Mus musculus: one gene and its partner. The protein of the gene in region 1 binds, or shares a complex with, the protein of each later gene. Links are inferred from orthologs where the notes say so. Each region holds a gene or a part of one and is shown in the gene's direction. Other genes may lie near its edges.

Region 1 (4,220 bases):
AGGAAGAACCAGTCATCCCATCTCATCTCATCTGCTCCCCCCGCCCCCCGCCCCTGTAACCCATGGCCCTCAGGGAGAACAGCAGCAACATCCTGGACAACCTGCTGTCACGCATGGAACAGTACGCCAACAACCTGGAGGAACTGGTAGAGGAGAGAACACAGGCTTATCTGGAGGAGAAGCGCAAAGCTGAGGCCCTGCTTTACCAGATTCTGCCTCAGTGAGTTCTAAACTCTGCACGCGCGCGCGCGCGCGCGCGCGCACACACACACACACACACACACACACACACACACACACAAACGTATAGCCCTGTCCCCATCCCATCTCACCTCTTGGTCTCTACCTGCCCTCTCCCCTCAGCTCTGTGGCTGAGCAGCTGAAGAGAGGCGAGACAGTCCAGGCTGAGGCATTTGATAGTGTTACTATCTATTTCAGTGATATCGTGGGCTTTACAGCTCTTTCAGCAGAGAGCACACCCATGCAGGTAAGCCGGGGTTCAGCCACAGGCAACAGGCCAGGTAGGTCAGCTTGGCCACCTGGTTAGTACTCTCCACTTGTCCCTGGTGGGAGCCCTCATTCACCATTTCTCTTGGCTTCCTTTGCCTTCCAGGTGGTCACCCTGCTCAATGATCTGTACACCTGTTTTGATGCTGTCATAGACAACTTTGATGTGTACAAGGTGAGGTTATGAGTAGAGACAAGAAAGACAGGCAGACATGGACAGTCAGAAAATGTTCAGAGGGATCCTCTGAAACAAACAAAACAAAACAAAAAAGGCCAGGCATGGTGGTGCACACCTTTAATCCTACCACTTGAAGATAGATGCAGGGAAATCTATGAGTTTGAGGCCAGCCTGAGCAAGTTTCAGGACAGGACCCCATAGCTACACTCAAAGAAACTCTGTCTTGAAAAAACAAAGGAGAAGAAGGAAGAGGAGGAGGAGGAGAAAACAAAGACCAAGAACATGGGCAGAAACACACAGGGGTGGGGGGAACCCAGGAACAGACAGAGAAACGGGCTGAGGCTGAGTACATTGACAGGCCAGTTGATAGGCACAGAATGTAGGCGGGTAACGCAGGCAAAGCTTGTCCTTTATTCTCCCCCGCCCCACAGGTAGAGACCATTGGTGATGCTTACATGGTGGTATCAGGGCTCCCAGTGAGGAATGGACAGCTCCATGCCCGAGAGGTAGCCCGAATGGCACTTGCACTGCTCGATGCTGTACGCTCCTTCCGCATCCGCCATAGGCCCCAGGAACAGCTGCGCTTGCGCATTGGAATTCACACAGGTCTGACCACGGAAGGCCTCCGGAGGCTGAAACTCAGAAACAAGTCCGAGACTAAACCTTTATCCCCTGTCTCTCTCCACACACCCTGGGACCACATATCCCAACTCCTACCTCTTCTGGGGTGCTCACCTCCTCTGACTTCCCTGGACTCTGTTCCTTTCTTTTCCCCTCCCAGGTCCCGTGTGTGCTGGTGTGGTAGGGCTAAAGATGCCCCGATACTGCCTCTTTGGAGACACAGTCAACACAGCTTCAAGAATGGAGTCTAATGGGGAAGGTAGGATGGCCCTCCTGAGGGAATGAGAAGGGTGACTACTTAGTACATCCGGCTGCTTCTATCTACCTAGTTCCTCAGCTAGCTCCTGCCTTCTCTCTGCCTGCCCTCATTTCCCTATACATGTATCTACCACATTGTAAATCAAGACAATTGGTGTGTGTGTGTGACACATGGGGTTGAAAACGCACTAAGCCCACCTTAGCCCCAAAGCTTAGTTAGCTACAGAAGTGTTCTCAAAGCATTTTCTTTAGCTTACATCTGAGCAAAGCACTCTAACACAATTTTTTTAAGAGACTTTAACAAGTGGCCTAACACTGAGGTATGTGATATAAGATATTTATATTCTTTATTTTAATGTGGATCTCATTAAGCAACTCAAGCTGGCCTTGAACTTATAATTTTCCTGATGTTGTCTCCAAGTACCTGGGATAACAGGCCTAAGCTACCAGCTTGGGAAACAAAGTCTATTTAATAATAATAATAATATTATTATTATTATTAATTGTTTGTTTAATGTACTCATGCACCCACAAAGATAGGTGTTTTGCTGGTGAGGTGGCTCACTGGATTAAGGTGCTTGCTGGCCAAGCCTGGTGACCTGAGATTGACCCCTGAGACCCATACGGTTCCAGGGGAGATTGGATTCCACAAGTTGTCCTCTGACTTCAACACATACCCACATGAATGTATGTACACATACAAAAATGGATAAACATTACTTTAAATTTTATTTTTAAAAACTTTAGCATGCACATTTTTAGTCTCAGCACTAAGGAGGCAGAGGCAGGTATATTTCAAAGTTCGAAACCAGCCTGGTCTACAGAGTGAGTTCCAGGACAGCAAGAGCTATATAATGATACCCTGTCTTGTGAAACAAAACAAAAAACAAATGATCCCCCCAAGTCTGAAAATGTCCTCCCCCACTCACAATAAATAAGTAATGGTAATAAAAAATTTTTTTTAATTATGAGAGAAGGGGCTGAAGAGATGGCTCAGTGGTTAAGAGCACTGACTGCTCTTCCATAGGTCCTGAGTTCAATTTCCATCAACCACATGGTGGTTCACAACCATCTGTAATGGGATCTGATGCCCTCTTCTGGGTTGTCTGAAGACAGCTACAGTGAACTCACATAAAATAAATAAATCTTTTTAAAAAATAATAAGAATACAATATAAAATGCCAAGCATGTAACTAACTGTCATTTATCATTTCTGGGCCTCAGCTCCTCCATACAACAGTAACCCTGTTTCAGAATTGTAAAAGATCTAGCACAATTCTTTGGGTAGGCAGTAGGCATCTAATAAATGCTTGTTTCCACCCCTCCCTTGATCTTGCCCCCTGTTTCCTCTATTTTTGTGTATGTGGTTCTCTCTCTCTCTCTCTCTCTCTCTCTCTCTCTCTCTCTCTCTGTCTGTCTCTTGTTTTGCTTGTAAAACAACCAGCAAGGTTGGGTGTGGTGGCGCAAGCCTTTAATCCAAACCAAAAACAAGCAGCAAGAAGCCCTGGCTGTCCTGGACTTGATTTGTAGACCAGTCTGGTCTCAAACTCACAGAGATCTGCCTGCCTCTGCCTCCTGAGTGCTAGGATTGACCACCTTTGTCACCACCACCACCACCACCACCACCACCCCACACACACACACACACACACACACACACACACACACACACACACACACACACACACACCGGTGGAGACAGACAGGCTGACCTGTCTTTTCACTCTAACTGCCCAAGTGCTAGAATTATAGACAGCTCCCTGCTATATTTGATACATTCAGTAAAGTCAATAGTTACTAAGCAGCTACCGAGTATCAGGCTGAGAAGGCCATATGACCCTCACCAGAGCCTGTTGGTAAGAAGCCAGCCCTAAAAGCCCAAAGAAGTGCGGTTCAGCTGATATCCTTTGCACCTATGTTTGGGGCTGACTGGTAGGAAAGAACGTCTCTCAGAGATGAGTCTTCACAGAATACCTTCTCAAAAGTGGGTCAGCAATAAGGGATACCACGAAGACACAGGTCAGAGTGAGAGTGGCTTTAGTGGGAACAACGGGTCCTCAATGGGACAGCTTGGGCAGACCTGCCCTAGATTTCAATTCTTCAGCCATAACAAGAGAATACTGATCCACGCAGATGGTACATTCCTGTAATCCCAGCACTTGGGAGGCTGGGGCACTAGGATTCCAAGTTTCAGGTTAGCCTTGGCCAGATGAAACTGTTTCACAAAAAGGTGTGTGTGCTGGTAAGGTGGAGTGTCTAGAGAGATGGCTCACTGCGTAAAATGCTATTCAAGGATGAGGACTTGCATTTGACTCTCCAGTTGGGCATAGAGCCATGTAACCCCAGTGCTGCAGGGAGGGACATGCAGAGAACAGGTCTGCAGGCAGATTCCTGGAGTTCACCGGCTAGTCAAGGCTAGCCCAAACAGGGAGTTCCATAGTAAGCCCAGGCTCAGCGAGAGCCAGGGTCTAACAGTAAACTGGAAAGTGACGGAAAGACACTCAAAATTCACAACTCTGCCTCCAGGCATGTACACATGCATACATGCATGCATACTAACACACACGCACACAGTAGAGGCAACTAACTGATCCCAACAACTTACATAGTGTTTCCTGTGTGCCACTCTGCATTTAGTACTTTGTGAGTGCTTTAC
Region 2 (4,562 bases), on another chromosome or scaffold:
GTAATTTTAAAGTTGGAGGTCACTGCAACCCGAGGAACTGCATTGAAGGCTGAGAATCATTGCTAGAAGTGAGGTCTCTCACTGAACCTGAAGTTATTTTTTGTTTGTTTGTTTGTTTGGGCGGGCTAGGCTGGCAGGCAGCAAGTTCCAGAGAGTCTCATGTCTTCGTCTCCCAGCATTGCATGCTGTGCCAGCATCCCTGCCTGGGTCTATGAATGATGCCGAGGACTCGGCCTCAGGTCCTCCTGCTTGGGAGATCAAGCATACACCCAGCCCTACCTATTGCTTTTCTTTTTATCATTCCTAAAGCTAAGGCTGGCTGGCTTCTGGACATCTCAGGAAGGTACCCCAAAGCAGAGCAGGACTAGAGATATGGAGAGAAACTTCACATTGGGTTGCCTTCCGATTGGTGCTCAAATCAAAGGCTTCTAGAGGACTGGGCTGAGTGGGTGATGGGCTCCACCACTTGTCAGACACAGTATTATACACTGTGTTGGACATGGCGGCACTGAGGTACGGAGAGCATGCAGAGCATCACAGCAGAGCATCTTTTGCCCCTGCCCCTCAAGGAAACCCTGAGGTCACAGAGTCTCAGTGGATGACATTCACGTCCCCTCCAGTTCCACCCTGGAAAGTTGACTCTAGCCAAAAAAAGATGGGCAAACCTTGAAATTGCACTCCTGGGGCACTGGTCAGGATCATAGCTCTCCTAGGGCCACATAGAGACTTCAGATGTGGCTCAGAACAGAAAAGCAACAGCACTTGTCTGAGGCCACCCGCCTCAGCCGTTCTTCAAGTCTTTGCCCAACTCAAAGACCATCTCCAGGAGGTAGGTCATGTGACACACACAGCAAGGAGCCCGAGTTCCCCCAGTAGGGCTGCTCGCCTAGTCCTCTCTGCTAATAATAATCCCCAGGCACACAATTAAGCAGTGAGCGCATCCCAGGGACTCATCCGGAGGCGACAGTGTGAACTTGCACAGATTTCAGACTTCAAGGAGAGATTGGCCAACCCAAATTGGTTGCCTACAACCCCCAGCTTTCTCAAAGGGCTCTCTTTTTCTATCTTAGAGAAAACATCACCGCAGACACCTCTTGTGACTTCCAGCCACATGACAACTCCACCAGGCAGCCACAGGGTCAATGGGCGTGGAAGTCTTCCAATAGCCCATTAAGACGGTCAGAAAGCAGAGAGCAGCAGAAAATGCACACACTTATCACACACACAAAGCATACATATGTCGAAAATGGCTACACTGGGGTGTGGAGACCACTTGTTAAAGGTGGACTGCCTGCTCATGCTCCTGAGGCTGCCAGAAGAATTCATGGCTCACTTCCTTGGTCTCAAAGGTCATGAAGGACATTATGGAGAATGGTGTATGTGTCCCCCCCTCAATCCCTTACCTCCTCCTTCTATTTCCCTGGGAAGGGTGGGACCACCACATATTTCATGCTCAGAGTCTGGGCTTTGGAAAGAAGAAAAGTGGTTTCATCCTCCAAACCCATCCTGTTGGCACCTTGGACACGAGTCTTGGGAGGCAGTAAAAATAAACTTTAGAGGAAATATGCTCTTCTAACATCCCTTGGTGTTTACACGTGTAGCTGAATTCTTTAGAGCCTGTATCATGTTGGCTTCCTGGCTGACTTCATACTCTAAAAAAAAAATAATAGCTCTTTCACCTGACTGCTAACAGGGACATCTAGGGTGGGGGTGGGCTGTCTGGGGCCAGAGGTCCACCCACGAGGCCGATGAATCAGGTGTGAAGCTAGCTCCAGCATGTGTACTCCCTGGCCAGCCTAGCTGGCCTCCCAGCTGCCTGTCATTGCCTCCTCTCCCGCCCTTATTTGGAGCCCCTGACAGCTGAGCAGCAAGCAGGGGGAGCTGGGTGCAGGCCAGCCGTCACCCTCTGCTTCCCTGCATGGGTCCTGTTGCCAGGGAGAAAGAATCCTGAGGCGAGCGCCCAGGAAGATAACCAAGGACTCTTTTCTGCTCCTCTCACACCTTTGAAGTGGGGGCCTCTTGAGGCAAATCAGCAAGAATGTGACTCTTGCAGCTGAGGGTCTGGGGGAGGGGGGTGAGTGGAGCTGCTCAAGGCAAAGGGGCCGTGACAAGCTTTGCCGAACTGATAACTTTAAAAGGGCATCTTCTGCTGGCTCCTCACTCCATCGCTTTATCGCTGCAAGTGACAGAATGGGGAGGGTTCTAGCCCCCCTGCCTTCTCAAAGAGCTGGGGGGCTATAAAAACGGGAGATGCTGGCAGCTAGGAGACAGTGACGGACAAAAGCTGAGAGAGAGAGAGAAAGAAACCAGAGTGGGCAGAGACAGCAAACATCAGATCGTGCCCCGACCCACGCCAGCATGGGCTCCTTCTCCATCACCCTGGGCTTCTTCCTCGTCTTGGCCTTTTGGCTTCCAGGCCATATTGGAGCAAATCCTGTGTACAGTGCGGTGTCCAACACAGATCTGATGGATTTCAAGGTAGGGCCAGGAAGTGGGACACAGACTGGGACCAGGGTCTCTTTGGTACTGGGTCCATTCCTGAGACGTCCCCTTTCTCTGTATTTATTTTGCCTTTATAAAGAACCTGCTAGACCACCTGGAGGAGAAGATGCCGGTAGAAGATGAGGTCATGCCCCCGCAGGCCCTGAGTGAGCAGACTGAGGAAGCAGGGGCCGCACTTAGCTCCCTCCCCGAGGTGCCTCCCTGGACTGGGGAGGTCAACCCACCTCTGAGAGACGGCAGTGCTCTAGGGCGCAGCCCCTGGGACCCCTCCGATAGATCTGCCCTCTTGAAAAGCAAACTGAGGGCTCTGCTCGCTGGCCCTCGGAGCCTACGAAGATCCAGCTGCTTCGGGGGTAGGATTGACAGGATTGGAGCCCAGAGTGGACTAGGCTGCAACAGCTTCCGGGTAAGAGGAGCTGTGGATGGAAATGGGATAGAGGTCAGGTGGGGTCTTGTTAGGGCTCAAACCTTGCCAAGGGACACTACCAGGGAGCATCTTTGGCAGCTGAGAGCCTGATGCATGTATCATTTTCTCTGTGAGTTCTTCCTCACTACGATGGGTGTCCCTTGAGTTTCAAGACAATGACAACAGCTGCTGCAGGGTCTGAGCCACAAGCACTGGGGAGTTAGAATACAGGGCCAAGACTGCCTCATTAATGCTTACCAGTGCCTTGCTTGCCGGTTTAATCACAGAGGCTAGACTGTGGCTTGTGGGAAATAGTTGATCGCTGTTCAAGTGGAACAATTTAGCCCAGTAAAGGCAGATCATCAAGCCAGTATATTTTTCTCTTTGTAGTACCGAAGATAACAGCCAAGGAGGAAAAGGCAGTCGATTCTGCTTGAGCAGATCGCAAAAGATCCTAAGCCCTTGTGGTGTGTCACGCAGCTTGGTCACATTGCCACTGTGGCGTGGTGAACACCCTCCTGGAGCTGCGGCTTCCTGCCTTCATCTATCACGATCGATGTTAAATGTAGATGAGTGGTCTAGTGGGGTCTTGCCTCTCCCACTCTGCATATTAAGGTAGATCCTCACCCTTTTCAGAAAGCAGTTGGAAAAAAAAAAAAAGAATAAACTTCAGCACCAAGGACAGACGCCGAGGCCCTGATGTGCTTCTTTGGCTTCTGCCCTCAGTTCTTTGCTCTCCCCAGCCTTGATCCCTCATTTCTCCCTCCTTCCCTCCCTCTTCTTGCTGTGTGTGTGTGTGTGGGGGGGGAGCCTCACGTCATAGTCCTCAAAATGCTCTGCCTCCATCACAGAACCCGGGAAAGTCCACCCAGGCTGAAAAGGGCATTTATTTTTAATTCATGAAAAGGGAACACGAACACACCTTTTCCTGAGGACAGGTAATGACATCTCTGCTCAGAAGTTTCAAGCATTCCTTTCTGGTTAGAGCCTGGGTGGCTTTAAGGGGCATTTAGAGAACCAGAAACTGCCCAGATCTGTTACAGAGTGCCAGCTGCTGTGACCATGTGAATTTCACTCTCTGAGTATGGGCAAGTGTGAATGGAGGGTGGGTTAAGCAGCTGAGAGGAGGAAGGTTTACAGGCTGATGGGTGGCCAGTTCAAACGATTTGTGGGCTACCCCACTGCTGCGTCACCACCTATCCACGTGTATCACTCGGTGCTGGAGATCAAACTCAGGGAGCCAGAGGCATTTGAAAATAGCCACAATCTCCCTAACACAGGACTGTGGAGCTTCAACTTGTACGTTGCGTGGAGGAGAGAACCACCAGGAAACATGCAGTACCTTATTTACTTTTAGTTTATGTAGCTTTGGCTGGCCTCAGACTCTAGGAGACCTGCCTTGCTACATTACCAAGTCTGGCTAAGGTGCAGTGTTTTTATACCAGCTTGTGAAAGGCACTGCTCTAAGCAGAGAACACATTCAGGGCTCATAGTGAACACTGCTTCTTCTCTGAGATCACTCAGGTCATCTTATAGCTCCAATAGGATATGGTTTGCTAACCCCCCTGTGTGCTTGTGTGTGTCTGTGTGTGCGCACGCATGTGCGTGTGCCTGTGTACTTGTGTCCCTAACCTGTACTGGGCATGTTATATAA

What was found. Proteins that work in one complex are often made in the same cells at the same time.
Region 2: the proteins of Npr1 (region 1) and Nppa are in contact, whole or in part, in a crystal structure (PDB 7BRG), measured with the Rattus norvegicus proteins. The link is inferred for Mus musculus from reciprocal best matches to the Homo sapiens genes NPR1 and NPPA. Residues at the interface, in NP_036745.1 of Rattus norvegicus: Asp90, Val115, Tyr116, Ala119, Pro120, Arg123, Ala139, Leu140, Gly141, Ile142, Val144, Tyr148, Tyr182, Asp184, Leu186, Gly187, Asp188, Asp189, Arg190, Phe193, Phe194, Val196, Glu197, Tyr200, Met201, Arg204, His213, Gln214, Glu215, Phe216; in NP_036744.1 of Rattus norvegicus: Arg126, Ser127, Ser128, Cys129, Phe130, Gly131, Gly132, Arg133, Ile134, Asp135, Arg136, Ile137, Gly138, Ala139, Gln140, Ser141, Gly142, Leu143, Gly144, Cys145, Asn146, Ser147, Phe148, Arg149, Tyr150.

Annotation. Positions count from the first base shown.
Region 1 is NC_000069.6:90,452,163-90,456,382, reverse strand, and holds part of Npr1 (atrial natriuretic peptide receptor 1 precursor), read left to right. Parts: intron 1-73; coding exon 74-220; intron 221-363; coding exon 364-487; intron 488-613; coding exon 614-682; intron 683-1,116; coding exon 1,117-1,291; intron 1,292-1,466; coding exon 1,467-1,565; intron 1,566-4,220. UniProt on the Homo sapiens protein: Receptor for the atrial natriuretic peptide NPPA/ANP and the brain natriuretic peptide NPPB/BNP which are potent vasoactive hormones playing a key role in cardiovascular homeostasis.
Region 2 is NC_000070.6:147,998,477-148,003,038, forward strand, and holds Nppa (natriuretic peptides A preproprotein), read left to right. Parts: upstream 1-2,245; 5' UTR 2,246-2,358; coding exon 2,359-2,478; intron 2,479-2,581; coding exon 2,582-2,908; intron 2,909-3,298; coding exon 3,299-3,310; 3' UTR 3,311-3,598; downstream 3,599-4,562.